Linked DNA regions of Macaca fascicularis. The protein of the gene in region 3 interacts with the protein of the main gene of each other region in a pairwise test. Links are inferred from orthologs where the notes say so. Each region holds a gene or a part of one and is shown on either strand. Other genes may lie near its edges. The genes, in order: PKN1, MYEF2, GOLGA2, LCP2, ZNF410, NTAQ1 and TPX2.

What was found.
Region 1: the proteins of GOLGA2 (region 3) and PKN1 interact in binary tests that used the Homo sapiens proteins (3 or more experiments, as listed by UniProt). The two-hybrid records come from large-scale screens. The link is inferred for Macaca fascicularis from reciprocal best matches to the Homo sapiens genes GOLGA2 and PKN1.
Region 2: the proteins of GOLGA2 (region 3) and MYEF2 interact in binary tests that used the Homo sapiens proteins (3 or more experiments, as listed by UniProt). The two-hybrid records come from large-scale screens. The link is inferred for Macaca fascicularis from reciprocal best matches to the Homo sapiens genes GOLGA2 and MYEF2.
Region 4: the proteins of GOLGA2 (region 3) and LCP2 interact in binary tests that used the Homo sapiens proteins (3 or more experiments, as listed by UniProt). The two-hybrid records come from large-scale screens. The link is inferred for Macaca fascicularis from reciprocal best matches to the Homo sapiens genes GOLGA2 and LCP2.
Region 5: the proteins of GOLGA2 (region 3) and ZNF410 interact in binary tests that used the Homo sapiens proteins (3 or more experiments, as listed by UniProt). The two-hybrid records come from large-scale screens. The link is inferred for Macaca fascicularis from reciprocal best matches to the Homo sapiens genes GOLGA2 and ZNF410.
Region 6: the proteins of GOLGA2 (region 3) and NTAQ1 interact in binary tests that used the Homo sapiens proteins (3 or more experiments, as listed by UniProt). The two-hybrid records come from large-scale screens. The link is inferred for Macaca fascicularis from reciprocal best matches to the Homo sapiens genes GOLGA2 and NTAQ1.
Region 7: the proteins of GOLGA2 (region 3) and TPX2 interact in binary tests that used the Homo sapiens proteins (3 or more experiments, as listed by UniProt). The two-hybrid records come from large-scale screens. The link is inferred for Macaca fascicularis from reciprocal best matches to the Homo sapiens genes GOLGA2 and TPX2.

Annotation. Positions count from the first base shown.
Region 1 is NC_088393.1:14,900,060-14,903,756, reverse strand, and holds part of PKN1 (serine/threonine-protein kinase N1), read right to left. Parts: intron 1,479-3,697; coding exon 1,399-1,478; intron 1,319-1,398; coding exon 1,243-1,318; intron 1,158-1,242; coding exon 1,066-1,157; intron 1-1,065. UniProt on the Homo sapiens protein: PKC-related serine/threonine-protein kinase involved in various processes such as regulation of the intermediate filaments of the actin cytoskeleton, cell migration, tumor cell invasion and transcription regulation.
Region 2 is NC_088381.1:24,644,906-24,648,602, forward strand, and holds part of MYEF2 (myelin expression factor 2), read right to left. Parts: exon of another isoform or gene 2,909-3,697; coding exon 2,745-2,908; 3' UTR 2,189-2,744; coding exon of another isoform or gene 1,866-2,188; 3' UTR 1,080-1,865; coding exon of another isoform or gene 978-1,079; 3' UTR 1-977. Other genes in the region: SLC24A5 (sodium/potassium/calcium exchanger 5), read left to right, coding at 978-1,079, 1,866-2,188. UniProt on the Homo sapiens protein: Transcriptional repressor of the myelin basic protein gene (MBP). Binds to the proximal MB1 element 5'-TTGTCC-3' of the MBP promoter. Its binding to MB1 and function are inhibited by PURA.
Region 3 is NC_088389.1:15,704,920-15,709,210, reverse strand, and holds the start of GOLGA2 (golgin subfamily A member 2), read right to left. Parts: upstream 2,868-4,291; coding exon 2,820-2,867; intron 1,058-2,819; coding exon 935-1,057; intron 1-934. UniProt on the Homo sapiens protein: Peripheral membrane component of the cis-Golgi stack that acts as a membrane skeleton that maintains the structure of the Golgi apparatus, and as a vesicle thether that facilitates vesicle fusion to the Golgi membrane.
Region 4 is NC_088380.1:177,056,721-177,060,163, forward strand, and holds part of LCP2 (lymphocyte cytosolic protein 2), read right to left. Parts: intron 2,416-3,443; coding exon 2,321-2,415; intron 1,711-2,320; coding exon 1,633-1,710; intron 84-1,632; coding exon 1-83. UniProt on the Homo sapiens protein: Adapter protein primarily involved in signaling pathways within T-cells, as well as other immune cells such as platelets, mast cells, and natural killer (NK) cells.
Region 5 is NC_088381.1:141,855,232-141,858,928, forward strand, and holds part of ZNF410 (zinc finger protein 410), read left to right. Parts: exon of another isoform or gene 1-268; intron 269-2,619; exon of another isoform or gene 2,620-3,016; coding exon 3,017-3,142; intron 3,143-3,697. UniProt on the Homo sapiens protein: Transcription factor that binds to the sequence motif 5'-CATCCCATAATA-3', and is specifically required to silence expression of fetal hemoglobin in adult erythroid cells.
Region 6 is NC_088382.1:133,060,876-133,065,358, reverse strand, and holds the start of NTAQ1 (protein N-terminal glutamine amidohydrolase), read right to left. Parts: upstream 2,813-4,483; 5' UTR 2,769-2,812; coding exon 2,686-2,768; intron 1-2,685. UniProt on the Homo sapiens protein: Mediates the side-chain deamidation of N-terminal glutamine residues to glutamate, an important step in N-end rule pathway of protein degradation.
Region 7 is NC_088384.1:87,827,479-87,831,706, reverse strand, and holds the start of TPX2 (targeting protein for Xklp2), read right to left. Parts: upstream 2,945-4,228; 5' UTR 2,887-2,944; exon of another isoform or gene 2,615-2,886; intron 2,584-2,614; exon of another isoform or gene 2,468-2,583; intron 483-2,467; 5' UTR 361-482; intron 17-360; 5' UTR 1-16. UniProt on the Homo sapiens protein: Spindle assembly factor required for normal assembly of mitotic spindles. Required for normal assembly of microtubules during apoptosis. Required for chromatin and/or kinetochore dependent microtubule nucleation.

The DNA.
Region 1 (3,697 bases), on a different chromosome or scaffold from region 3:
ATTACAGGCGTAAGCCACAGTGCCTGGCAAAGAGGCTGAGGTTCTGAAGGGAGAAGTGACCTCCCCAGGATCTCCAAGCCCATGCTGCAGATGTGAGATTTGAACCCAGGATCCTGTCCCCAAAGCAGAGGCAGTATGTTTGCACCACGAAGGGCACAGGCTTCAGAACCTGAGTCTCTAGCTTTGAATCCTGGACCTGCTGCTTACTGGCTGTGTGACCTTGGGTAAATTGCTCAACCTCTCTGTGCCATCAGTATTTACCTTATAGGGCAACATGGAGGAACAAACGAATAACTTTTTTTTTTTTTTTTTTTTTTTTTTGAGACGGAGTCTCGCTCTGTCGCCCAGGCTGGAGTGCAGTGGCCAGATCTCAGCTCACTGCAAGCTCCGCCTCCCGGGTTCACGCCATTCTCCTGCCTCAGCCTCCCGAGTAGCTGGGACCACAGGCACCGCCACCTCGCCCGGCTAATTTTTTGTGTTTTTAGTAGAGACGGGGTTTCGCCGTGTTAGCCAGGATGGTCTTGATCTCCTGACCTTGTGATCCGCCCGTCTCGGCCTCCCAAAGTGCTGGGATTACAGGCTTGAGCCACCGCGCCCGGCCATGAATAACTTTTATAAGAACTATTATTATCTTGGTATTAGGCTAGTAGGTATTAGTGACTTATTTGTTCTGAGACAGGGTCTCACTGTGTTGCCCAGGCTGGAGTGCAGCGGTGTGATCTCAGCTCACTGCAACCTTGACCTACTGGGCTCAGGTGATCCTCCTATCTCAGCCTCATGAGTAGCTGGGGCTACAAGCACGTACCACCACACTCAGCTAATTATTTTGTATGTTTTGTAAAGATGGGGGTGTCGCCATGTTGCCCAGCCTGGTCTTGAAATTCTGAGCCCAAGTGATCCACCTGCCTCGGCCTCCCAGAGTGCTGGGGTTACAGGCGAGAGCCACCGTGCCTGGCATTAGTGACCACTATGAGTCACTCTCCCTGCAGCTCCAAGGAGAGAACTGCTCTGTCATTTCCCAAAAGAGAAGACAGAGGTCCCCAGAGGACCACGGCAGGTCCCCACCTCTCCACCTCGTCTCGGGCCACAATGTCCCCTTTCTTCAGAGCCTTGATGGCGAACAGCTCCCCACTGGGCCGGAATTCGGAGAGCAGCACCTGGAACCACAATGGGCAGGGGTGGCTTTAGTGGCCAGCCAGGGACCTGGGGGGGGGTCTCCCAATCCGCTGCCCTCCACCTCACCTTCCCAAAGTGACCCCGGCCCAGCACCGCCAGGAACTTGAAATCCTCAAGGGTCAGAGGCGACTTCCTCAGAGGGCTGTGGAGAGAGGCCACTGGTGAGGACAAGGACAGCAGGCAGGGGTGGGTGGTGGGCAGGGGGCCGGGGAGTGGTGTCACCTGCACAGGGCGGGGCCTGGGGTCTCCTGGGTCTCCGAAGGCAGCTTGGGAGTGATGGAGGATTCCTGGATCGGGGAGCTCTGTGGCGGAGAAGAGGCCAGAGTAAGGGGAGTCAGAGAGGCCCTCATAACCACAACAGCCTCTGAGGCCCTGCAAGATCTGCCCCCCACCTCTCTGTCCTCACCTCTCCTCCCATGCGGCCCCTCACTCACTCTCCTCCAGCCACACGCCTGCACCACCACGCCCGGCTAATTTTTGTACTTTCAGTAGAGATGGGGTTTCACCATGTTGGCCAGGCTGGTCTGGAACTCTTGACCTCAGGTGATCCACCCACCACGGCCTCCCAAAGTGCTGGGATTACAGACGTGAGCCACCACGCCCAGCCCGAATTTTCTTTTTTGTTTTTTTTTAGAGACACAGTCTTGCTCTGTCGCCCAGGATGGAGTGCAGTGGCACAGTCATAGCTTAGTGCAGCCTTCAACTCTACCTTCACCTCCTGAAGGTAGGGGGTGGGACTAAAGGCTTGCACCACCACACCCAGCTAATTTTTTTTTTTGAGACTGAGTTTCATTCTTGTTACCCAGGCTGGAGTACAATGGCACGATCTCCGTTCACTGCAACCTCCGCCTCCCGGGTTCAAGTGATTCTCCTACCTCAGTCTCCCAAAGAGCTGAGATTACAGGCATGCACCACCAAGCCAGGCTAATTTTTTATATTTTTAGTAGAGATGGGGTTTCTCCATGTTGGTCAGGGTGGTCTCGAACTCCCGACCTCAGGTGATCTACCCGCCTCAGCCTCCAAAGTGCTGGGATTACAGAATTGTTCAGCTTCCCGTGTAGCTGGGACTACAAGTCCCATCATGCCTGGCTCGACAATGTCCATTTTTAATTTTTTAATTTTTTTTAAAATTTTTTATTTTTTATTTTTTTTTGAGACAGTCTCGCTTTGTCGCCCAGGCTGGAGTGCAGTGGCGCAATCTCGGCTCACTGCAAGCTCCGCCGCCCGGGTTCACGCCATTCTCCTGCCTCAGCCTCCCGAGTAGCTGGGACTATAGGCGCCTGCCACCTCACCCGGCTAGTGTTTTTTTGTATTTCTTAGTAGAGACGGGGTTTCACCGTGTTAGCCAGGATGGTCTCGATCTCCCGACCTCGTGATCCGCCCGTCTCGGCCTCCCAAAGTGCTGGGATTACAGGCTTGAGCCACCGCGCCCGGCCAGCTTTCACTTTTTTTTTTTTTTTTTTTTTTGAGACGGAGTCTCACGCTGTTGCCCAGACTGGAGTGCAGTGGCGCGATCTTGGCTCACTGCAAGCTCCGCCTCCTGGGTTCACGCCATTCTCCTGCCTCAGCCTCCTGAGTAGCTAGGACTACAGGCGCCCGCCACCGCGCCCGGCTAATTTTTTTTTTGTATTTTTAGTAGAGACGGGGTTTCACTGTGGTCTCGATCTCCTGACCTTGTGATCCGCCCGCCTCGGCCTCCCAAAGTGCTGGGATTACAGGCTTGAGCCACTGCGCCCGGCCTTTTTTTTTTTTAAAGAGATGCAGTGGCTGGACGCAGTGGCTCACACCTATAATCCCAGCACTTTGGGAGGCTGAGGCGGGCAGATCACCTGAGGTCAGGAGTTCAAGACTAGCCTGGTCAACAAGGTGAAACCCCGTCTCTATTAAAAAGACAAAAATTAGCCAGGTGTGGTGGCGCACACTTGTAGTCCCAGCTACTCGCGTGGCTGAGGCAGGAGAATTCCTTGAACCCAGGAGGTGGAGGCTGCAGTAAGCCCAGATCACACTACTGCACTCCAGCCTGGGCAACAGAGTGAGACTCCATCTCAAAAAAAAAAAAAATGGAGTTTCACCATGTTGTTGAGGCTGGACTCCAACTCCGGGACTCAAGTCATCCTCCTGCCTCGGCCTCCCAAGTAGCTGGGACCACAGGTGAAGTGATTTTTACATTTTTAAATCGTTGGGGGAAAAAAAAAAGAGGAAGAATATTTCATTGCCCATGAAAGTTCAACGATGTTCAAACTTCCGTGTGAACTACCAATAAGGTTTTACCGGAATAGAGACACGCTTATGGTGTACAAATCGTCTGTGGCTGCTTTCAAACTACAAAGCAGACAGGGACTGTCTAGCCCACAAAGCCAAAAATATTGACTCTCTGGCCCTTTCCGGAAAATGCATGCTGACCTCTGACCTAGATAAAGACGAGGAACATTTCCATTACCCGGCAGGTCCCCTTGTGGCTCCCAGCTTGCGGTAACCTCTGCCTAGAGCACAGCACTCTCTCGATCACTCTGTCATCGAC
Region 2 (3,697 bases), on a different chromosome or scaffold from region 3:
CTATCCAAATTCACTCAGCCAGAACACACTTGATATTAGGAAAATAAAAAGAGAGCAAAAATCATGTAATAGATCACAGAACAGCCCCCCAAGATTATAACTATTAGTGTTATTTATGCACGTATGAATTCTAGCAAAGCCAGTAATAGAAATTAACCAATTCCAATTCCAGTATCAATATGTAAGCATGCAATAAATAAGCTACTTTCTAATTAAGTTATTTTAATTGGCATTTTAAGAAAAAGAAAAAAAGATGCTAAACCAAGTTTTCAATTACAACATTAAAAGAACAGTTACATATGTTTTAACTTTTTTTAACTTCTCTCTGGTTCTGTTTCTGAGAATAAATACATTTCTGATCAATGTTGACCTGACATCAAATTTAATAGAAGTATTAATAAATTGGGACCATATGTTAGACTCAAGTAGAAAACAAACAGGTTTTGTTTTCCTGAGAGATTAATGAATGTTCCCCCTCCCCACCCTGCCAAAGCCCACTAAATTAAGGTATATCACTAAAGTAGAATGTAATAAATGATATATATACATGTTAACACATTTATAGCTTAAAGATAGCTATAATTAATTTGCTTAACTCTAATTTAATAAAATTTTTTAAGAAAGAAAAACAGGAATGATCACTCTCATTAGCAAATATTCAGCACAGCCCTGATGAGATAATGGTGGACATAAACATCTTCCGTAAGAATATCAAACAGGAAAATTTCTCAGTGGCAGAATTTTGGCTGTTACATACATCTTTAGATTGTCATTAAAAATCTGTGCTACCTGGGTTACCCAAATTACCAGCCTGATTCAAATATGTTGCTAGCTAAAAAACTAAGCAAGCACATATTGGCTCTGAATTCTAAATCTGCCTATTTTATTTTTGTTCAGGAAGGAAATACCCAAAATAACTGCAAAAGATGGTTAGTGACTCTTTAAGATTTGTAACCTGAAGTATCTGTTTATTACAGGGGAAACACTAGAAATTCCAGATACAGTAATGGGCCTTACTTTATTAGCAGCAGGAACAAGCATACCAGACACAATTACAAGCGTGTTGGTCGCAAGAAAAGGTAAGAACTAAGTCCCTTAAGCTGCAATGGTCATTCTACATGGCTAGAATGAGTAAAAGTAGCTTTAAAAATGTTTACTTCCGGCCGGGTGTGGTGGCTCACGCCTGTAATCCCAACACTTTGGGAGGCCGAGGCGGGTGGATCACAAGGTCAGGAGTTTGAGACCAGCCTGACCAACATGGTAAAACCCCATCTCTATTAAAAATTAAAAAATTAGCCCAGCATGGTGGCATGCGCCTGTAATCCCAGCTACTCAGGAGGCTGAGGCAGGAGAATTGTTTGAATCCAGGAGGTGGAGGTTGCAGTGAGCCAAGATCGCGCCACGGCACTCCAGCCTGGGCAACAGAGCAAGACTCAGTCTCAAAAAAAAAAAAAAAAAAAGTTTACTTCCTCAGTAACATACTTTGAAGGGGAAAAAAAAAGTGACTCAAGAGGAAGAGTTTACTATTTAATAGCAGGTTAATTTCACACAATCTAATCCCCCAAATAATATTCATTTGAAATGTGCATTAAATAGTAATGGACCATGTTAAATTACAATGAAAAGCAACAAGTAAGCTAGATACCTTATTGAAAAATGGTTTAATAAATATAATTAAATAAATGTTAAGACTTTAAATACTAACCCAAGAAAAATTTAAAAATACAAATTCAGTAAGACTTTTGCTCTAACAATTTTCCAAAATGAATCAACAACAAAAAAGTATCCAGTGTTTCTTTTCTTATGAAGATTAATAAAATACAGTATTGGTAAGCACATTTTAACAATATGCTTTTCTTTTGTAGGGAAAGGAGATATGGCTATGTCTAACATCGTGGGATCCAATGTGTTTGATATGTTGTGCCTTGGTATTCCATGGTTTATTAAAACTGCATTTATAAATGGATCAGCTCCTATAGAAGTAAACAGCAGAGGACTAACTTACACAACCATCTCTCTCAACGTTTCAATTATTTTTCTTTTTTTAGCAGTTCACTTCAATGGCTGGAAACTAGACAGAAAGTTGGGAATAGTCTGCCTATTATCATACTTGGGACTTGCTACATTATCAGTTCTATATGAACTTGGAATTATTGGAAATAATAAAATAAGGGGCTGTGGAGGTTGATATTATTAACAGTGTTATGCAGAAAATATGAATGGCAGGGAGGGGCAGAGAGAAAAATCAATTTCTTCATTTAAATCAAATTTTTTAAATCCTGAACCTTAGAATCTAAAACTTACAGTAATTTAAAACCAACCAAAATCATATCCTAATTTTTCTGAGCCCTTTCTTTTCATGAAGAATTACATATTATAAAACAGAAGTTTTGGGGCACAAAAAATCTGTTTTACCATACAATAAGTTGACAAAAACTGGAGAAACTAGAACAAACAAATCCAACTATGTAGTACTGAAAACAACAAGAAAATGGCTTATTTCATTAAAAACAGTATAACCATTCATTTAAACTGAATGACCAGACTTGCTGTCTTTAAAAACCCAAACTTGAGATTAACAAAAATTACAGTATATTTTTAACATTATACTGTTAAAAGCTGGTGGGAGTTTTAAAAGTTCATTTTTACAGCTTTTGTAAGCATACAATATTACTTAAAAAAAAATGACTTTACTAGGAGATTCAGCAAAACAGATGTAGGAATGTTCCAACCATGGCTTGAAATTATGCATTACGATCCAAGCGGACATCAATTTCTCTGCCACTGATTTTTATGCCATTCATTATTCTGCAGGCTTTTTCTGCTGATTCTGGGGAGTCAAATCTGACTGTCCCACAGCCTTTTGACTTTCCATTCTCCATTTTTATTTCTGCAAACATTACATGACCTGTAAAATAAAAGTTACAGAATTACTAGTCAGTTATTAAATGAGTTCTATTTCACTTTATAGGTTTGAAATTCCTCATAGCCAATTATGATAATTTGATTAAAAACATCATTTTTTTAAATAACAAATAATATAAGCATTATATTTGGAGTAAAATACAATTCATATAAAGTAATAAATATATACATATTAGAATATACAAAATTGGAATCAGGAAAGATTTTCCTAGGATTTAATGTATTTTATTTATGTTAAATCCCTAATTCCTGAGGTTAACTGTATAAGCAATAAGTCAAGCTAGCACAAAATGCCACCAACTCACCATGCCCTATGACAAACTTACACATTTATACAAAATTATTTTTAGAATAAATGGTTGCTTACTGCCCAGTCTCCCTAATCTCTCTCTCTTCCTTCCCTTTTATCCTCATTTCACTCCTTTATCCCCTGCAAACAAGTGCAACTGACCAGAAATCTAATTTCTATCAGGCTACAAAGGGCCCCACTAATTCTGCTTGCAACCACAGTGCCAAAGCCATTTATTCAATACCACAATTTGAGCTCAAAGTCTAAGAATGGCACCAAATATGCTACAGAAATAGTCACGGGAAAAGATAGCATAGATTTAAATCAATAAAGGTAAAAACAGTGATGTCAAGGAGAATCTCAGAGAAGCTTCAGGAAAGAGGAAGAAAACCAGAAACCTGTCCTTATGTAGTTATATCATTGCTAACTCTAGAGACTGGTATCTGAAGTAAATCAATACCATTTATCAAAATACAAAGTGGC
Region 3 (4,291 bases):
TTAGAGAGAGGCAAGAAAGTCAGGGAAGGAGGAAGATGTGGGTTCAGGGAAACGAAATGCTGAAGAAGAGTGGAGGAGATCAATACCATGGCCTGTGCCATCCTTCCAAATGGCCACCTGCTGCCTTGCCGGGGGCAGAAACAAATAGATGGAAAAGTCCCCTGAAGGATGCAGTCACACAGAGTGGAGTCACCTGACCAATGCAGCTCTTAATACGCTCACTGGACCCTTCTCCTTAGGCCCAGGATGTGGGCAGTGAATCTAGCAGAGCTGCAGACCTCCACCTCCATTTTAAAAACCAGACTTCTGAGTAAGGGTTCACTTGAACGAAGGGGGCTCCAGCTAAAAAACAAGTTTGAGAGACACTGATCTTAACCAATGTCATCTTACAGAGGAGGAAACTGAGGCCCAGGGGAAGAAGTGGTTTTTCTGTGGTCATGCAGCAAGCTGGTGGCAAAGATGAACTCAAAAGTTAGATCTTCCCCTAATCCTAGTGCCTGGGGCTCTCCTCACCACACCCTGGGGCCCTTTCAATGACTCCTAAAGGGATAGCCTGATGGCCAGTGGCTGTTGTCATTGGCCTGGCTTCCCCTTGAGACTGGAGATGAGGAAAATGAAACAGCAACTACCATTTCCTGGGTGTCCTGGGTGTTTACAGCAGGCCCTGTACTAGGGATTAACATTAAAACAACAATAATAACAAATCTCATTTAAACTTCACAAGTGTAAGTAAAACAATACTTTACAGATGTGAAGAGAGAGGCCCAAAAAGCTCAAGCGATTTGCCCTAAATCACATCCCTAGCAGATGGACAGGTAGGATACACACCCAGAACTCTTAATCAGTACCCAACAGTTCTTCCACAATCATAACAATTACCCTCTACTGCCCCTTGGGCCCCCTGTCCCCAGGAGCCTAGCCAGCCAAGACTCACATCCTCAGGTGAGTGGCAACCACCAGAAGTGGTTGTCTCAGGGTTACTGCCATTTTTTATTTTCTTCTTCTTTTTCGCTCCTGTAGGAACACCAGGGCTGTTCCTCTGCTGATATTCTCTCAACTGTGGAAAAGAAGAGCAATAATACTCATGAGATCTACAAGCCCCTACAGTTACATCCTACTTTACAATTTTTCCGAAATACTCATATATACCATCTGATTTAACGCCACCAACAAGTCTACAAGGTCTTGTCACAATCACTTAGTGACTGAGAGGGACTGATACCATGGCTTAAAAAAATTTAAGAATTGAACTTAAACTCAGTCTTCTGACTCCAAGCTCTGGGGTTTTGCCACAAATCAGCAGCTGCCAGGGGCCAAAACCAGAGGCAGAGGTACCTTTCTACCTCTCATCCCAGAAACAGGATGAGAACACTTAGGGGACTGGGTCCTAAAATCAAAAGTCAGTTTCACACGCTAATTACGGTTCTGAGGGGGATTGCGACATCACTACATTCCACTCCGCTATGGAGAATTCAAATATGAGGTGGAAAAGTCAAGCCTGGAGTCCCAGCTACTTAGGAGGCTAAGGCAGGAGGATTACTTAAGGCCAGGAGTTCAAGGCCAGCCTGGGCAACATAGTGACATTCCGCCTCTCAAAATAAATATGTATCTTAAAATGTGGGCTGGAACATTAAGTCGGCAGGAACTGTACACTGTGTGGTTTAGAGTCATACATCCTCACACATTTGTTAATGTAAGAAATGCACCAATGCCTCTGAAACTTACATCAATGTATCCTCCTGGCAAAAGGCAGCCTTTCTGTTGAACCTGGGAATTCAACAGAAAGAGGACAACCCAAGCCTCATTTCAGAGAAAAGTCTGGTATACTCTTAGAAATTTATGTGACTGTCATCCCTAAGTACATTAATGTTTTTTTCTCAAGAGAATAAAGGGAAACTGATGCTTCAGAAAGATATTTATCCTGTGGCATTTCAAGTACCCTAGGCTGAGATGATATGAGGAAGATTCAAGCTGTCAAGTTCAGTTTCCCAAGACCTGTTCCACAGGAGATAAGCAGATCTCATTCCAGAGACCACTGAAGGGCACTCTGGTCCCAGAACCATGGATAATTCGAATATGAGGTGGAAGTCAGAAAAAAAATGTTAGTCTCTCTGGAGAGTAGAAGCCTGGGGGAAAATCAAACCAATCCCGTTCTCACATTGCCACCCAGAGATACTGCCAATGTTTTGAGCTCACGGGGGAAGTGTAGGCTTTTCACACTATCAGTGTCTATGTTAAGGGTGTAAGGCAGCCTGAAACCTCTCCCTCCTAGGTGCCATAGTCCCCAATCCCCTTCCAGCTGGAAATTTATGCTGTGACCAGAGGAACCAGAAGCGGGATGAGAACACTTAGGGGACTGGGTCCTAAGATCAAAGACTGGTCTCGCGCACTAATTACGGTTCCGAGGGGGGCTGTGACGTCACTACATTCCACTCCTAGGGGGGAACATCAGCGCGACGTCCGAGTCGCTGCTCTGCGATGGGGGAGGGGAGCGCAGGGCCAGGACCCAGGTCCTTGGAGACGCGAGCCCAAATCGCCCAGGGAGGTCCGGTTTGGGGCGGCAGGAGGTGAGGGCCAAGTCTGGAGCGGGGAGCCCCGGGAGTCACCAGCCCAAAGTCACCCGGGGGCGACTGGCGAGGGCGGGGGCTGGGCGGCTGAGGGGGCGGGGCTGGCTGACAAGACTTTTGTCGGGGGAGCCCAGAGGCGCTGGGGGGAGCCCAGCCCGGTGTGCCTCAGGAGTGGCAGGGACTCTGGCCGTGGTCCTGCCATCGGAATGGGGCTGGGGCTGGGCCAGGGGGCCGCGACCCGGTGCACTTTACCTTTTTCTTCGCTGCGGCCAATTTGCTCTGTCGGGTTTCTTCCGACATCGCGGGGCGGGGAGGGAGGCGGGGTTGGGGCCACATCAGCGCGATCCCGGCAACCACTGCGGAAGTCAGTCAGCCACCGCGCAGCTGTGCGACCGAGCCAGAGGAGGCGTAACCAGGGCGGTACTAGAGCGCAGAATAAGGGCGTGGCCTCAAAGATCAAAGCCCATTCGTCAATGAAAAAGATAAAGCGGAAAGGAGGCGTGGCCAGGCAGCGGCGTGGCCAGAGGGACCTGTGGCGTCACAACAAAAGCTGCGCACGCAACCGCTGTCCCCGCCCACTTCGGAGAGGGGCGGGGCCGGCTTTCCTTGGGTGCGCGCGCAGCTTGCTGTGCGACCATCAAGCTCCGGGTCAGTGTTCCTTGCCTCGCGCACCTGAGAGGCCGCTCTCCGACTCCCGCGCTGGACCCTCTTGCGCCACTGAACCCCCTGATCCGGGGGCCTCGGACCCCAGGGCTCAGGAGGTGGGCGAGGAACGGACTCCACAGTTTCTTTCCTGACTTCTTACAGCCCTGCCCCAGACTTTCCCTTTCCAGAAATCACCTCCAAAGACTCCCATCCAGTGCTTCAGACAACCCCCGCCTCAGAACGCCCCCTTCCTAGAGGGTCTCTACCCTGATCCTGGGAGCATATCTGTCCCCTTTCCAGATGGATCCAGTCCCAGGCGCTCCTACTTCCCAGCTGCTCCTCCTCCCGCATCCCCACAGTACCCCTGTCCTCACAGCGGACTGTGGGTCCAATCAGGCTTTCCCCTCGGATTCCTCTCCAGGACTGAACCAGGACTTACCCGAAGTTGCCGCGGGGCCTTCCGATCCCCTGTGAGTATTTCTTCCCCCACACCCCCCTTCCCATCCCCGACCCTCCCTCGTGCGCTCCCGGCCCTCCTCCCCATCCCAACCGCAGCCAATCCCCGCTTAGCCCTCTTCCATATCTTCTCCTAGCCGACTGAGAAACTCCAGGTCATTCCTCAATCCCTCCCCTTCCTTTCCTCAGGCCCGCCATTCTTGAAAGAAGTGCTATCCTGTCCTGTCCTAGGCTAACTCCTCTCCCTCCCCATCCTGTCTCCTGGCCCCTCAGATGCCTTTCACTCCAGTTCAGCACCAGCCATCTCTCCTCCTCTCTCGTTTCACCCCTCACCCAGCCCTGCCTTTAAACAAACCCACAGCTCCCCAATCAGGAAAATGCTTGGTGTTCACCCTGGCCACTCCTTTAGTTGCTAATAGTCTCTCCTCTTCTCTGGCAAGCCACCCCCAAAACGCAGCCTCCTCCTCCTCTCATCCCCCAGATGGAGTTGCCACTACCACTACCACCACTCTCAAGTTAGATTGTGAGGGCCAGGCACAGTGGCTCACTCTTGTAATCCCAGCACTTTGGGAGGCGGAGGCAGACGGATCGTTTGAGGTCAGGAGTTCAAGATCAGCCTCCCC
Region 4 (3,443 bases), on a different chromosome or scaffold from region 3:
ACTTTATCTTTGTACAACACCATGAGGACATATGGATTGGTTATTGTTTTTTTAGAGCTGTCTCTAACCAGAAATGTGCCATCCTAAAAAGATAAATTCCTGTTATTATGGGAGAGTAAAAGTCAATATTTTTGTTGCTTGCAAGAATAGTAGACCAGCCTCCAGGGATCTGACAAACATGTCAGTTGCACTTTGCAGCTTCTTGAGTGCAAAACCCGTCATTCAACGAACATTCAGTTCTCCACACAGCTACAGATCCCATGTGTCATGAGTTATTTTGTTGTTAAGAAAGGCAACAGAGATTGTATCAGAGAAATTTCCGAGTCAATCTCGTTAAAGTCTCTTATAAAAATGGAATCTTTTGTTCCCTAATAAATAATGGGTGGTTGAGTGGATAAAAGGCCAGGAGAAATAAAAAACTTTATTGGTTAACTCAAGATATATCTTCCTACTATTCCTGTGAGTTAATTCCCTAACCTTTCTCTTCCACATCCAAAGTCAGAAAAGACCCAAATGCCGTGAAATTCACCCTTCTTAAAACCTTGTGATCCCTAGATAGTCTTTCCTTCATCAGACACTTGAACAAAATTGAATGCAGATGTTCTCTTTTCTTTTCTTTTTTTCTGATATTTGCTAAACTACTGTTTTGATTGTCCTGTACTTTAAATTTCCATTCAATAAATTATTGCTACATAATATTAATGCTATAAAGATCTAATATTAAGATAGAATTAATTGGAAAGGACTCCTTTAAACTACTCCCTTCTCCTCATACCAAATCAGGATAGCTTTAAATAGCCATGAGTTGGCAATAATGGCTTTCCTTTGTTCGTTTTATTGCAAGTTAATTGAGCCTGTCAGAACATCTCTGCTAAACAAACATACTTCTGGATCAGTGATTCACAGTCTTGGCTTCAAATCAGAATTACCTGGGAAGTTTTGAAGACTCCAGAGCTGACACAGCACCCCAGAATAATTAGAATCTTAAGGCGAGACTCAGGAATCGGGATTTTTCAAAAGTTCTCCAGGTGATTTAAATGTGCAGCTACTACTGAGAACTACTGGTGTGGAGTTTAGATGTGAAAGATGAAAGAGTTTTGCTTTCCCATTTCCGATAAATAAATTTAAGGTAAAGTGTCGGCACTGGCTACGGGAGATATGTTCAAGACTTTATGTATTAAAGGACTAGCTAGAAACGTCTAGGGCAAAAAGCAAAAAGTTGCTGCCGTCTCTTTAATATCGGTCCTTTCACATCAACAAGGATGGCACATCTGTGTTAAGAGGAAGATAGAACTGGTACCATGTTGGAACTTTGGGGGAAGGAGAGCCTCCTTCTGACACCGTGTGATTCGTATGACAAGACAAACTCTTTCATTAATCAAATCTCCTAAGATTCTGCCAGCCAAATGACTGCCTTGAGATTCTTCTGCCAGCCTAATGATTCCCGAGCCTAGGAATCCCTGCTATGGGTGCTGATAGTTGTGAAGCTGGCACTAATGGGTCTCCTAGGTATCACAGTTAGCAACAGCACTTAGCAGAATTACTAGCCTGTAATGGGTACTCAGGACAAGTCAGTTCCCTTCTCTGCCATTAATATTTATAACTATGTTAAAATAAACTATAGCACAATACCTGGTTTATCTTTCTAAGAGCAGCTTCTGCCTCTGGTCGGGTAATATAAGAAACGTACCACTCTTCATTTAATGAATTCTGAAAATGTAAATTTTTAGAAACTGAATAAATTTTACAGTTACAGATGTAAGTGAAAAGAAAAGCTTCTGAGTAATCATTTCCATAAATCACCACCTCAATTCCAGGAGGTTTGAAACATTTGTTTTCTTAATTTGCATTCAGAGTCATTTAGCTGAGGCTAAATAGAAGACATTTTGTGTGAACTGCTTTTTATCATGACGCTGGTTGCAAAAATACCTGTGAATAAGTGTTCCTTACAGTATGGAACCTCTAATCAGGAAAGATGCAGATACAGTAATTTCTTCAGTTTAGCATAATAACCTGCTTGATAAAAAAACTGGTTTATCGAGCAGTTAAGTGATGAATCAAGGTCATAAACATAAAAAACAGGATTATTTTTCTTGCCATTTAATGCAAAACACACGTTTGCCATTGAAAGAGTCTGAAAGAATGCCAAGGAAAAAGAACATATTGTTCATCTGGATCTTCTCCTTTAACTTTTTTTCGAATAAATAAAATAAAACAAACGGAAGATAAAAGTATAGAAGAACATTCAGTGGGAGTTTCTGGTGATTCTTTTACCAGGGAAAAAGCAAACAAACAAAAATAAAAACATATACTTTCTTACCTCTTCTTCCGCGGGGGATGGGGGCCGAGGTTTGTTTGGAAGTGGCAAGGGGAAGTTTCTGCCTTCGGCTCTGATAGGTGCTCTGTTGCTAGGGCCTTCAAAAGTACAGAGTTCTGAAAGTTAATTTACTGTAAGCTATTGTTTACTGCTATCAAAACACATTCCCGCCCCCCCCCCCTCAAAATACCCTTGCGGTTGGTCCTACTGTTAGCATTTTAAGAAACCAGGGCTTCAAAAATAATTTTCTTCCGTTTGAAACCATGGAGGCTACTCAGGCATTATTCTGTAATCATGCCAGTAAAACTTTGAGAAGAGAACCTCAACTTGGAGTGATTTTCTAAATGTGCATGTTGCATAATATAAAGTGACTAGATCCCTTTACTAAAAAATTCACAATTGTTTTAATGAGTGTGAACATTAAAATGAATGCTCAAGAGACATATCTTTCATAGATTCTTATAATCTCAGCATAGGCAGAATGGATTCCCAACAGCTGATGTAGGGACAGGCAGTAATGAAGATAATTATGTTCTTAATATTTCCACAAAAAGAAATGTAAGTGACCCAAGAGAAGATGAAATTACCTTGAGAATATTGCTAGCTTTTAGAATCAAATATTGCTACCTGCTGTTCTAACTGAACAGGTAGAACTGTTCAACTCACATAGAAGGCTCTACAGATCAGGAAGTTTGTGTTGGGCACCTATTAATTACCCAGCGCTTATGTCTCATCTTCTCTAAAACTCTTTTTTCTCATTTACAATTCCTTGAAACTTTAGGAAAAAGTTTCCGAATCTCAGGAAAGGTTTAGTTGTGTTTGTTGCGGTTGCCCAGGGTATTTTCTGTGTGCCAGGCTGTGGTTAAAGACAGAAAAATTCTGTGAGTCGAATGTTCTCTTAATTATTCATCCATCATTCATTCATACCTTCAACAAATATGTATTCAGTACAACTCTGTCCAGATCTTGAGTAAGGTACTGTGTGTACATTTTTTTAATCCTCACAGCAACATTACAAGGTAGGTATTGTCTTCATTTTGCATATGGGGAAATACAGGCTCAGAGGCTAAGCAAATCATGTGCTATCAGTGGCAAAGCCAAAACTTAAACCTGTGGTTACCAAATG
Region 5 (3,697 bases), on a different chromosome or scaffold from region 3:
TTTTTAGTAGAGACAGGGTTTCACCATGTTGGCCAGGTCTTGAACTCCTGACCTCAAGTGATCTACCTGCCTTGGCCTCCCAAAGTACTAGGATTACAGGCATGAGCCACCACACCTGGCCTGTTATTTTTTATTTTTATTTTTTCTGAATTTTTTTTATCTGCTTGGTTCAATCAGTGGATGTGTATAGCCAACTATATATTCATATATTCATAGTTTTATAGTTTTCTCTACTGTCCAACTCCACAACATTTCATCATCCCAAAAAGGATCCCCATATCCAGGAGATGATTAAAAAAAGAAAAAGAATTCCCATTATAAGTATCATTGCCCATTTCTCTCTTCCTCCAGCCCCTGGCAACCATTAATCTGCTTTCTGTCTCTGGATTGATTTGCCTGTTCTGGACATTTCATGACTTTTTCTTTTTTTTCTTTTTTTTTGAGACGGAGTCTTGCTGTCTCCCAGGCTGGAGTGCAGTGGTGCGATCTTGGCGCACTGCAAGCTCCACCTCCCAAGTTCACGCCATTCTCCTGCGTCAGCCTCCCAAATAGCTGGGGACTACAGGCGCCGGCCACCATGCCCAGCTAATTTTTTGTATTTTTAGTAGAGATGGGGTTTCACCGTGTCAGCCAGGATGGTCTCGATCTCCTGACCTCGTGATCCCCCGACCTTGGCCTCCCAAAGTGCTGGGATTACAGGAGTGAGCCACCGCGCCTGGCCTTTTTTTTTTTTTTTTTTTTTGACGGAGTCTCGCTCCGTGGCTCAGGCTGGAGTGCCGTGGCATGATCTTGGCTCACTGCAACTTCCACCTCCTGGGTTCCAGCAATTCTCCTGCCTCAACCTCCGAAGCAGCTGGGATTACATGCGTCCACCACCACGCCTAGCTAATTTTTGTAGAGATGCGGTTTCACCATGTAGGCCGGGCTGGTCTTGACCTCCTGACCTCAAGTAATCTGCCTGCGCGGCCTCCCAAAGTGCTGGGATTACATGTGTGAACCACTGCGCCTGGCCAAAATAAATTTATTTATTTTATTTATTTTAGATTCAGGGGGTACATGTGCAGGTTTGTTACAAGGGTATATTGCATTTGGGCTACTAATGATCCTGTTGACCAAGCAGTGAACATAATACCCAATAGGTAGTTTTTCAGCCCTTGCCCCATAGCTGCTTTTGGAATCCCCAGTGTTTATTGTTCCCATCTTTGTGTGCATAAGTACCCAGTGTTTAGCTCCCACTTACAACTGAGAACATGTGGTGTTTGATTTTCTGTTTCTATGTTAATTTGCTTAGGATAATGGCCTCCAGCTGCATCCATGTTGCTGCAGAGGACATGATTTTATTCTTTTTTATGGCTGCACAGTATTCCATGGTGTGTATGTGCCACATTTTCCTTATCTGATCTACCACTGATGGGCACCTGGGTTGATTCCATGTCTTTGCTGTTGTGAATAGTGCTGCAGTGAACATGTGAGGGCAGGTGTCTTTTTAGTAGAGCAGTTTATTTTCCTTTGGGTAGATAGTAATGGGATTGCTGGTTCAAATGGTGACTCAGTTTTTAGTTTTAAGGTTTGTAATATTCTACCCTGTTTCTATTGTATAGCTTTTTTTTTTTTTTTTTTGCTATGCAGGACTATTGCAGTATCTATAGCTTTTTAGTCAGTCTCTGTGATGAATATTTACGTTGTTTCCAGTATTTAGCCATTTAAAATAATGTTGCAGTGATGAATAACCTTGTGCATAGAGTATTTCACATTTTGCCACTATAATTTTGGGATATATTCCTAGAAGTGGGATTCCAAGGTCAAAGGGCAAGTGCATCTACAGTTTTTCTAGATGTGGTCAGATTCCCCCAAAGAGGTTTTTGTATTTTGCATTCCCAGCAAAACACAATCAGCAATGAAGATTGCTGTACCATGTGTTTATCAATTGTGAATTTGTTCCTAGCATTTAGAAATTGGGAGATTCTACTTAAAAATCCTTATTTAAAAAAAAAATCAGAACCTGGCTGTGCTAGGCCTTAATCTACCTATGGCAACAGCTGGCTAGAGCTGAATAATAGCTGCCCCTTTTCTAGGTACTCTCTAGGTTACTGTGGCCTCCACTGGGCGATTTTACTTTCGCTACCTATCAGTCCCCTATAGACAGGAGTTTTTGACCTCTGCTCTAAGTATGGTTGTCTGGGTAGGTAGAATGGAGACGGAGAGTCTGGGACTTGAAGACATAGAGGACAATTTAGATTATTATGTTAGAAGAGCCACCAGTGTGAATGTTGACCCTAAAGAGGGTGGCGGGGAATATGTCAAGGGGATATTAGGAACCCAGGATTGGAATCCTTGAGGAAAGCACATATCCTAGAGGTCCATGGACGACTATCTGAAAAAGAAGGCCTATTTTTTGTGGTTGCCATGGTCCTATACCAAAGAGGTTTTGTGAAGGCAGCATTACAGTGAGTCTGGAAAGGACCAGGGGCTGGGAGCAGGGAGTGTGCTAAAGCCCTCCTGGTGTACTCTTCCTGCCTTCCCCCATATGCTGAAGTTTGAGAGGCTGGGAAGGTGGGGAATGGGAAAAGGAGCTGCTGCTTATGTTGAGTTTAACATTCTTTGGGTTTCTCCATCTAGGTCTTGAGTTCATTCTCTTCCTGTCCTTTTGGCTTCCCTGTTTTTTTTTTTTTTTTTTTTTTTGAGACGGAGTCTCGCTCTGTTGCCCAGGCTGGAGTGCAGTGGCCGGATCTCAGCTCACTGCAAGCTCCGCCTCCCAGGTTTATGCCATTCTCCTGCCTCAGCCTCCCGAGTAGCTGGGACTACAGGCGCCCGCCACATCGCCCGGCTAGTTTGGTTTTTTTTTTTTTTTTTTGTATTTCTTAGTAGAGACGGGGTGTCACCGTGTTAGCCAGGATGGTCTCGATCTCCTGACCTCGTGATCCACCCGTCTCGGCCTCCCAAAGTGCTGGGATTACAGGCTTGAGCCACCGCGCCCGGCCGTTGGCTTCCCTGTTTAACCTGGTCCCTGTTTCAGGAGAAAAGCCTCATCAGTGCCAAGTCTGTGGGAAGACCTTCTCTCAGAGTGGAAGCAGGAATGTGCATATGAGAAAGCATCACTTGCAGCTGGGAGCAGCTGGGAGTCAAGAGCAGGAGCAAACTGGTGAGGAGGGTGGGCAGAGTGGAGGGCTATACCTTCTAGGGTTCAAAGAGCCAAATCACTGTCTTGCCTGGTTATCTGGAAATTTTCTGATTCTGTTTTAGGTAGATAGACCTGGTCTCATTTGATGGGCTGATGGTTTCCAAACATAGCTGTACAGTAGAATCATCTGCAACCTTTTAAAATTTGTATACTTTTTGTTGCTTTTCCCCCCACCAATAAAACAAAGCAATCTGATAAATGAGATAATTTGCAAGATCCCAGAATCTGTAGTTTTAAAAGTTCCCCTAGTGATTTTGATGGTAACTAGTGCTGATCCATGAACCAGCATTTGAGTAACACAGTGATAAAAGATTTCTGCATGGCAAGAGTTTAAGCTTTTTTATTTTTTTAGATGGAGTCTCGCTCTGTCACCCACGCTGGAGTGCAGTGGCGCCATCTCGACTCACTGCAACTTCTGCCTCCTGGGTTCAAGCAGTTCGCCTGCCTCAGCCTCCTGAGTAGCTGGGATTATAGGCAGGTGCCACCACACCTGGCTGATTTTTGCATTTTTGTAGA
Region 6 (4,483 bases), on a different chromosome or scaffold from region 3:
CGACGACACAGTCCCAAACAAATACCAACTGCCACTATTATCATTAAGCAGGGTCTTGAAGCATAAGTAACATCTGGAAGCTAACATGACAGAAGCTAACAGAAGTAGACAGGAGGCACTCATTTCAAGTTTAAAAACCTGCAGGATGGCCAGGCATGGTGACTCATGCCTGTAATCCCAGAACTTTGGGAGGCCGAGGCGGGTGGATCACCTGAGGTCAGGAGTTTGAGACCAGCCCGGCCACTGTGGTGAAACCTCATCTCTACTAAAAATACAAAAATGAGCCGGGCATGGTGGTGGGTGCCTGTAGTCCCAGCTACTCGGGAGGCTGAGGCAGGAGAATGGCTTGAGCCTGGGAGGCAGAGGTTGCAGTGAGCCGAGATGGCACCACTGCACTCCAGCCTGGGTGATAGACTGAGACTCCGTCTCAAAAATAAAAAAACCCCACAAAGCTGCAGGAGCCAAAGTAGTGCAGTGCCCCCACCTGACATGTTCAGACAGGGTAGAGCACTGTTTCTCAGCAAAAGGCGATTTTGCCCCCCAAGCCCTACAGGACACTTAGCAATGTCTGGAGACATTTTTGGTTGTCACAACTAGAGCTAGGGTGCTAACAGCATCTAGTGGGTAGAGGCCAGGGACGCTGCTACATGTCCTGCAATACACAGGACAGCCCCCATAGCAAAGAATTATCATGCTCAAAATGTCAACTCGAACCTAGGCGGAGAAATCCTGCGGTAGAGTGGTCAACTCTTACCATTCTTCTACAAGACTGCTCTAACTCTGATACTCCAATTGTACCAGTCTCCTCACTGTTTCTATCATACAGCACAATTCCTTCTCAGAGCCTTTGTACCTGCTGTTCTCCCTGCTTAAATGACCATCCTCCAATAGATGCAAAGCTCTCACCCTCTTTTTTCAGATCTCTGTTCAAATATCACCTTATCAACAATGTCTTCTCAAAATATCCTAATAGAAAATAAGCCACCATCCTTTATCTTATTTTTCTCACAGCACTTAACACCACCCAAACATGGTTTACTTGTTTTTGTCTGCCTTTTTTTTTGAGATGGAATCTCGCTCTGTTTCCCAGGCTGGAGTGCAGTGGCATCGGCTCACAGGAATCTCCTCCTCCCGGGTTCAAGCGATTCTCCTGCCTCAGCTTCCCGAGTAGCTGGGATTACAGGCGTGTGCCACCACACCTGGCTAATTTTTGTATTTTTAGTAGAGGCAGCCTTTCTGCATGTTGGCCAGCCTGGTCTCAAACTCCTGGCCTCAAGTGATCCGCCCACCTCAGCCTCCCAAAGTGCTGGAATTACAGGCGTGAGCCATCGCACCGGACCTTATCTGCTTTTCTCTCATCAAAACACAAGAACCAAGGGATCCATGAGTGAATTTGTCGATCTTGTTCACTGCTGTATCTCCAGTGCCCAGAAGTGGGCCACATACTCCAAGTGCCTAATACACATTTATTGAATGAATGAATAAAACAATGGACATTAGGGAGGAGAACTAACGGGATTTAGAAGAGGCAGGACAGAAAAAGAGTGCAGCAGTTAAGATGCATGAACTTCAAAATCACGAAGATGTTCCAGTTTCAGCACCACCACTTGCTAGATGTGTGATTTGGGGGCACACAACAGCCTCTCTGTGGCTCACTCTTTTTATTAGTAAAATGAGGATAACGATAGTAAAAGAAGCTACTCATGGACATCGATGGAAGCACCTGCCACTGAGCCTGACATGCAATCAGGGCCGAACAAATGCTCGGTGGCATTGATTTAGTGACAAGCAGAAGGGGGAAGGGTAGTTTTAGATAGCACTGAGGGTTCCTGTGCAAGGACTAGAAGCTGGGGGAGAAACCATTACTCAGGAAAGAGTAGGCATGGGAATGAAAAAGGACCAAGGCAGGGGCGGTGCTTCAGCTGCAGAGGTGGCCTAGGACAGGGGTGCAGAGCATGGACTCCGGGGCCAGACTCTGCCTGTAAATCCCCACTCCTTCATTCACAAGTGATGTGGCCCTGCGCAAATTACTTGCAGCCCTCTGTGCTTCAGTGCTCTCATCTTTAAACTGGGGATAACAATACCTACCTCTTAGGGTTATTGTGATACTCAGTGATTTAGTTTACCTAAACCACCCAGAACAACGCGTGGCATATAGCAAGTGCTGTGTGAATGTAACCATTATTATAATGACAACATGGTTAAGATCATGGTTTCTGGTGCCAGAGAGCCCGAACTGGATTCCTGGCTGCTATTAGCTGGGTGACCTTGGGAAGTTATCCCAAACTCTCTGTGCTTCCATTCTCTTCCAAAATTAAAATGACCTTCGCCTCAGTCTGAAACCCCACATGCTTCAGCAGAGTAACTTCCAAAGGTTTTCAGAGCTCCACCCTTCCTAGCCCCGAAGCAGAGATCTGCTGAGCAAATCCAACCGACAAGCGCCAGGCACAGGTAATGCACTATCGACCCTAGGATTCCGGACGAATTCCCAACCCCATCCAACAGCCCACGCTCTACTCAAGAGACAAGAGCTGCCATTCCCGCTCCCTACTCCCGCAGAACTGTAGAACCCGCCGGTAGAGGCCGGGAGCGCCCCCGAGCAGGGGCCGGGAAGAGGCGGGGCCTGGTTGCAACTCGCGGCCCGGGAGCCTGGGAGACCCAGAGGCTGCGCCCGCGCCCCCTCACCAGTAGCAGCTGCTGTAGACACAGGCGTCCCGCGGGGGACTGGCCGGCTGGTAGTGGACGGCAGTGGGGCCATTACCCTCCATGGCCAGCTAGCTCGGCCAGCGCCGACGCCGGAGGAAGACCGACTGGACCACACGTAGGAAAGGGCGGGCGTGTAGCGGCCCGCGCGGGCTCTCAGGGCGGGGTGGGAGGAGCCCGGGGCGGCCGGGACAGTTTCCGGGCGGTGGGGCCAGGAGCGCGGTGGGCGGGGCTCGCAGCACGAGTTCTCAGCGCGGGAAGCCCGGGACGAAATGGGCAGAGCTCGGGCAAGCGGCGCCAGTTCCTGGGAAGGTGGAGCCCAAGCGAAGTGGGCGGGTCCGGGGTGGGGTGAGCGGCGAGAGCTCCCGGTGGGCGGAGCCCGGGACGAGGAGGACTGCGTGCTTCCGGGTAGGCGGAGCCCGGCTGGTGGGTGGAGCCCGGGGTGGGGCAGGACTGGAGGCTTGGGCTCTCGTGGGCGGAGTCAGGGGCGGGGCCCCGGTGAGGTTTGGGAGAAGAGGGGTCTTTGGCGGCGGCTTAGGGTGGAGCTAGGTTTGGGCTTGGAGTTGGGCCCTGAATAGCGCTTCGCTGTGAATCTCCCGGGGAGGCTCTTCCAACTTGGGGCTGAGCTTCTGCGCTGTGGAGAAGCCAGGTGAGACACTGAAATAACAGAGGTTTGGGTGTGAAAATCCACACTTCAGCACTCAGCCTGGAGTCCGCGGGAGCCCAGAGAAGAGGAGGGGAGTGGAGGTTAATTCCAATATGACCGCATCGAGGACGCTTTCCGAAAGGGATAGCACCCCAAATCTCACTCTATTGTAACTTAATCTTTTAAATTGGAAGACCTATATCTATTGGCTCGAAAAGATATATTAATTTCCTGATATAGTAAATTTGAAAAAAAAAGTTTAAAGAGTCCATATGGTATCCTTTTTGTGTTAATCATGTGTTTGTTCATTTACTGGCAGTCTGGAAGAAAAGACACCATATTGTTAAAATAGTATTTAGGGCCGGGCGCCGTGGCTCAGGCCTTTAATCCCAGCACTTGGTAAGGCCGAGGCGGGTGGATCACGAGGTCAGGAGTTCGAGACCAGCCTGGCCAAAATGGTGAAACTCCGTCTCTACTAAAAATACAAAAATTAGCTGGGCGTGGAGGCGCGCGCCTGTAGTCCCAGACACTCGGGAGGCTGAGGCAGGAGAATCGCTTGAACCCGGGAGGCGGAGGTTGCAGTAAGCCAAGATAGTGCCATTGCACTCCAGCCTGGTCGACAGAGCAAGACTCCGTCTCAAAAAAAGAAAAAAAATAGAATTTATCTATGGTGAATGAATAGTATTAATATCAGGGACTTTCAGTTTCAAGGACTTTACACTTTACAGTCTTCTGAATTGTTTCTATTTGCAATGAGGATAACTCGCTAATCAGGGTACTTCCCATTATAAAAACTGAGATGTTTACATTGATTTTAGCCATCCACAGTCTGATTTTCCAATCTCTTGAGTCCCAAAGCCGATAAATCCTAAAGACTTTGAGCCCAGTTCCTGTGTCAATTACCAATTTTATTGCCTCTCAGCTCCTAATACAAACTTCCACATAGCCTCTATGCTATATAGCAACTCTGTTAAACATTTCTCCTTTAGAGTGGGAAGCCCTATAAGCTAGAAGGAATTGGGGCCGTATCTTTAACCTCCTCAAACAAAACAATTACCAGCCAAGAATTTTGTATCCAGTGAAACTAAGCATCATATAGGAAGGAAAGATACAGTCTTTTTCAGACAAATGGTG
Region 7 (4,228 bases), on a different chromosome or scaffold from region 3:
AATATGTATCAAGAACCTGGAAGAAGTAGAAAAGTGATGAAACAGGTTCCAAGTTCTCTGTAGTAAAAAAAGGGTTAACAGGCCGGGAGCAGTGGCTCACACCTATAATCCCAGCACTTTGGAAGGCCAAGTCAGGTGGATCACTTTAGGTCAGGAGTTCAAGACCAGCCTGGCCAACATGGTGAAACCCCATCTCTACTAAAAATACAAAAATTAGGCTGGGCGCGGTGGCTCACGCCTGTAATCCTAGCACTTTGGGAGGCCAAGGCAGGCAGGAGATCAAGACCATCCTGGCTAACACAGTGAAACCCCGTCTCTACTAAACATACAAAAAAATTAGCCGGGTGTGGTGGCACGTGCCTGTAGTTCCAGCTACTTGAGAGGCTGAGGCAGGAGAATTGCTTGAACCTGGGAGACAGTGGTTGCAGTGAACCAAGACCACACCATCGCACTCCAGCCTAGGCAACAGAGAGAGACACCATCTCAAAAAAAAAACAAAAAACAAAAAACAAAAATTAGCCAGGTGAGGTGGCAGGTCCCTATAATCCCAACTATTCGAGAGGCTGAGGTAGGAAAATTGCTTAAACAGGGGAGGCAGAAGTTGCAGTGAGCTGAAATCTCAAAAAAAAAACTCTATATATAGTCAATTTTGCTTCCTAACTTTACTCATAGCAAAGAAAATTAAGTATGTCAAAGGGCATTTAACTCTCCCTCCTCTTTCTCCCAGGAATTCAAAGAGAATTAGGGAAGATAGGCCGGGCGCGGTGGCTCAAGCCTGTAATCCCAGTACTTTGGGAGGCCGAGGCGGGTGGATCACGAAGTCAGGAGATCGAGACCATCCTGGCTAACATGGTGAAACCCCGTCTCTACTAAAAAATACAAAAAACTAGCCGGGCGTGGTGGCAGGCGCCTGTAGTCCCAGCTACTCGGAGGCTGAGGCAGGAGAATGGCGTAAACCCGGGAGGCGGAGCTTGCAGTGAGCCGAGATCGTGCCACTGCACTCCAGCCTGGGTGACACAGCGAGACTCCGTCTCAAAAAAAAAAAAAAAAAAAAAAAAAGAATTAGGGAAGAGACCCAGAAAAAGCTGAAGGAAAATTAACCAACAGATGTAGACGAACTCTGAAAATCTGGTACCTAAACAAGAAATGAAGGACTCTCTCACATAATCCTGGACAATCTTAACTGCAATAAATTAATTTTATCAAGGTTGAAATACACAGATTTAAGCATAAGGTTAGCCAAATAAACCCTATTCAGCTAATTTGAAAGTCTAAACAAAATTACCAACCTAGTTGAGTACAATCCAGTTTTTCATACCCGCAATTTTGTAGTCAATTCAGATAGTGCCTTCCTGCCTAGTCAATTCAACAGGTATTTAGTGGGTGATTCCTATGTACCAGGATTGTTTCAGTCCCTGTCTAACCAAACTCTTGCTTATCAAGAATTAGGCAAGGGTGGCTTTGTGAAGCACAGAAACACAAACTGGCTCTTGATCTCCCTCACCTCTAAATTGTCCGGACACTTAGAATACAAAACAGTAGAGCACTCAGATGGTGTCCTGTCTTGTTCTGATTCTCACTTGCCAATTTCAAACCATGTTTTTGTCCCCAAACACACCAAAAAACCTTTGAGTTCATCACACATCTGTATACCCATATCTCATGCCAATCTGAGCACGCAGTACCCTCAAAGGACAACTAAATGGCTGAGTTAGCTGAGAGCCACATAATTTTGATCCAAGAATGCCAGCTTAATACTGAACTGACTCATCCATCCAACCAGGGGGACGGACTTAAGTCTGACGTGGGGGTGGTGTAATACACTAAGGCCACAATACAAGAACATCCTTATAGTCCTATTTTTGACAACATTTGATGAGTGAGAGAAATTCAAAGAGAGGCCATAGGATGTCAAGAAAAGGTAAGGGTGAACCAGGGAGTAAACCAAGAGCTGGTCTTAAAGCAAAATCTAGGAGTCAAAAATCCTTTTCTATCCTAAGTAGGCCTGATTTGGGGAAGTCCATGTTACTGAACTACCAGAAAATTATATGTGGAAAACAAGACGTTATATGTCAAGAAAATAGGGGGTAAACCAATTCTACAATATTATAACCTGGTTTGGTTTTCCTTCCCCCCTCCAATCTATAAATGTTGAGAAAGGAAATGAGAAAGGGAATAATATCTGGTGATTCCATACAAAAAGAGAGAGCTGGACAAATATGGATAACATATAATGAATTTTAAATCCCAAATAGAAGACAACTCCAAATGGACTTAAACTCTCCCTCAATTATGTTCTCACACCATCTAATCATCTTTCTGTTTTAGATAACAGTTTTGAAATGTCCTTATTTGTGACTACCTCTGTTTTCCTCCATCAAACGCCACACTTCCTGAGGGCAGGGCTACTGTATCACCCATTTCTCGAAATTTATCTAGATTCTGGCCCACAGTTTCCTCCTCCTACCTCCTTCCTCCGTTTCCGTCAAGAGGGACCAAGAATAGCACCAACTACATTGGCTTGGCGAGGAAATTAGATGAGAACGGGCACGCAGGGTACTTAGTTCAGTCAATGTTTATAACCTGTTAGCATGGTAATAATAATTATCGTTACCTTTATTAGACGATAGCCTCCCGCAACTCCTTTTCCCCCGTTTCCCGGACGGACTTCAGAGCAAAATCCTGTCGCCAAGAGAAGGGTGGCCCGAAGCCCCCGCTCGCACCCTGCCCCGCCTAGGCGGCGACCGAGCACCGCAACCGCCTCAGAAGCCAGGCCTACCCGCGCGAACTGCGCTAGGAGCTGGAAGGTGAACTTCAGCCATTCCAAACTCCGGGAGGAGGGAGACCCGCGCCCCAGCTGCTCCCTCTTTTCTTCCCGCGGCTCACCTAGCCTCTCCTCAGTTCTGACAACGAAGCGCCAGCCAACCCGCCGCGGGACTCATTCAGTATCGTTGAAATTTTGAACCCAGGCAGCCTAGTCGAATGCACCAATCAGAGCTCCAGGAAAGCAATTCCAGGCTCCCGATTGGCCCTACAGAGAGCAGCAATACCGGAAGTCAGAAGGCGGTACCAGCGAACAACGAGGCCGGGAGTTCCCGGGAAGTGTAGTCTCCTGCGCCTGCGTGAGTCCACTGGACCAGCCCTTAGGAGTAAATTACTACGAAGACCGGAGTGCTCTGCTCCAAACTCTTTGGGAAAGGTGGTACCAACTGAAGAGGTGGAAAGTCGACTTAGATCACAGAATGGCGCGCATCCTGGACATCCCCAGGCTTTCAGGGAAGAAAACTTTATTTTTAAAAATTATTCTTGTTATGGTTGTGCATTATCCCTTGAAGGTTCAGAGGAGTTCACTCGTCTTAACGTGGAGTCTCCTGCATGCAACATAGACTCGCCCGTAGCGTCCTTCCCAACCGTGCATGTGTCTTCTCAAACCTTTTACCCAGGCCCTTCCCTGATCTTGTTCGTTGGGTGCTTTATCCGGTTTTATTCCCAACTGCATTCCGGCTTTATGATCCCCATATGGTAAAAAGAAAACAAAGGCTCGGAGAAGTTGAACAAACATGTCCAAAATCATATAATAGATGGAGAAGACGGGATTCGAATGAAGAAGGTCTGTTCTTTTTATACATCACCGATAATTAATTAGAGGCCAGGCTTCGTGGCCCTCACCTGTAATCCCAGCTACTCAGGAGGCTAAAGCAGAAGGATCTATGAGACCAAGAGTTCCAGAACAGCGTAGATATCATAACGAGACCACCCCCACCATCTTAATTTTTTTTAATCAATTAGAAAATAGAAGCAACAAGCACAACAAAACAACCCCCTTCATAATACCAGCAAAAGCTAAAGATTCAAAACTTTAGCTCTAGGCTGGGCGCGGTGGCTCACGCATGTAATCCCAGCACTTTGGGAGGCCGAGATACGCAGATCATTTGAGGCGACGAGTTCAAGACCAGCCTGGCCAAAATGTTGAAACCCCCATCTCTACTAAAAATACAAAAATTAGCTGGGCGTGCTGGCGCGGGCCTGTAATCACAGCTACTTGGGAGGCTGAGGCAGGAGAATCACTTGAACCCGGGAGGTGGAGGTTGCAGTGAGCCAAGATTGCACCACTGCACTCCAGCCTGGGCGACAGAGCAAGACTCTTCTCAAAACAAAACAAAACAAAAAAGGTCGAGGCAATTCCAATGAAAGTCCCAGTGGGTTCTGTTCTGGAATTTGCCAAGTT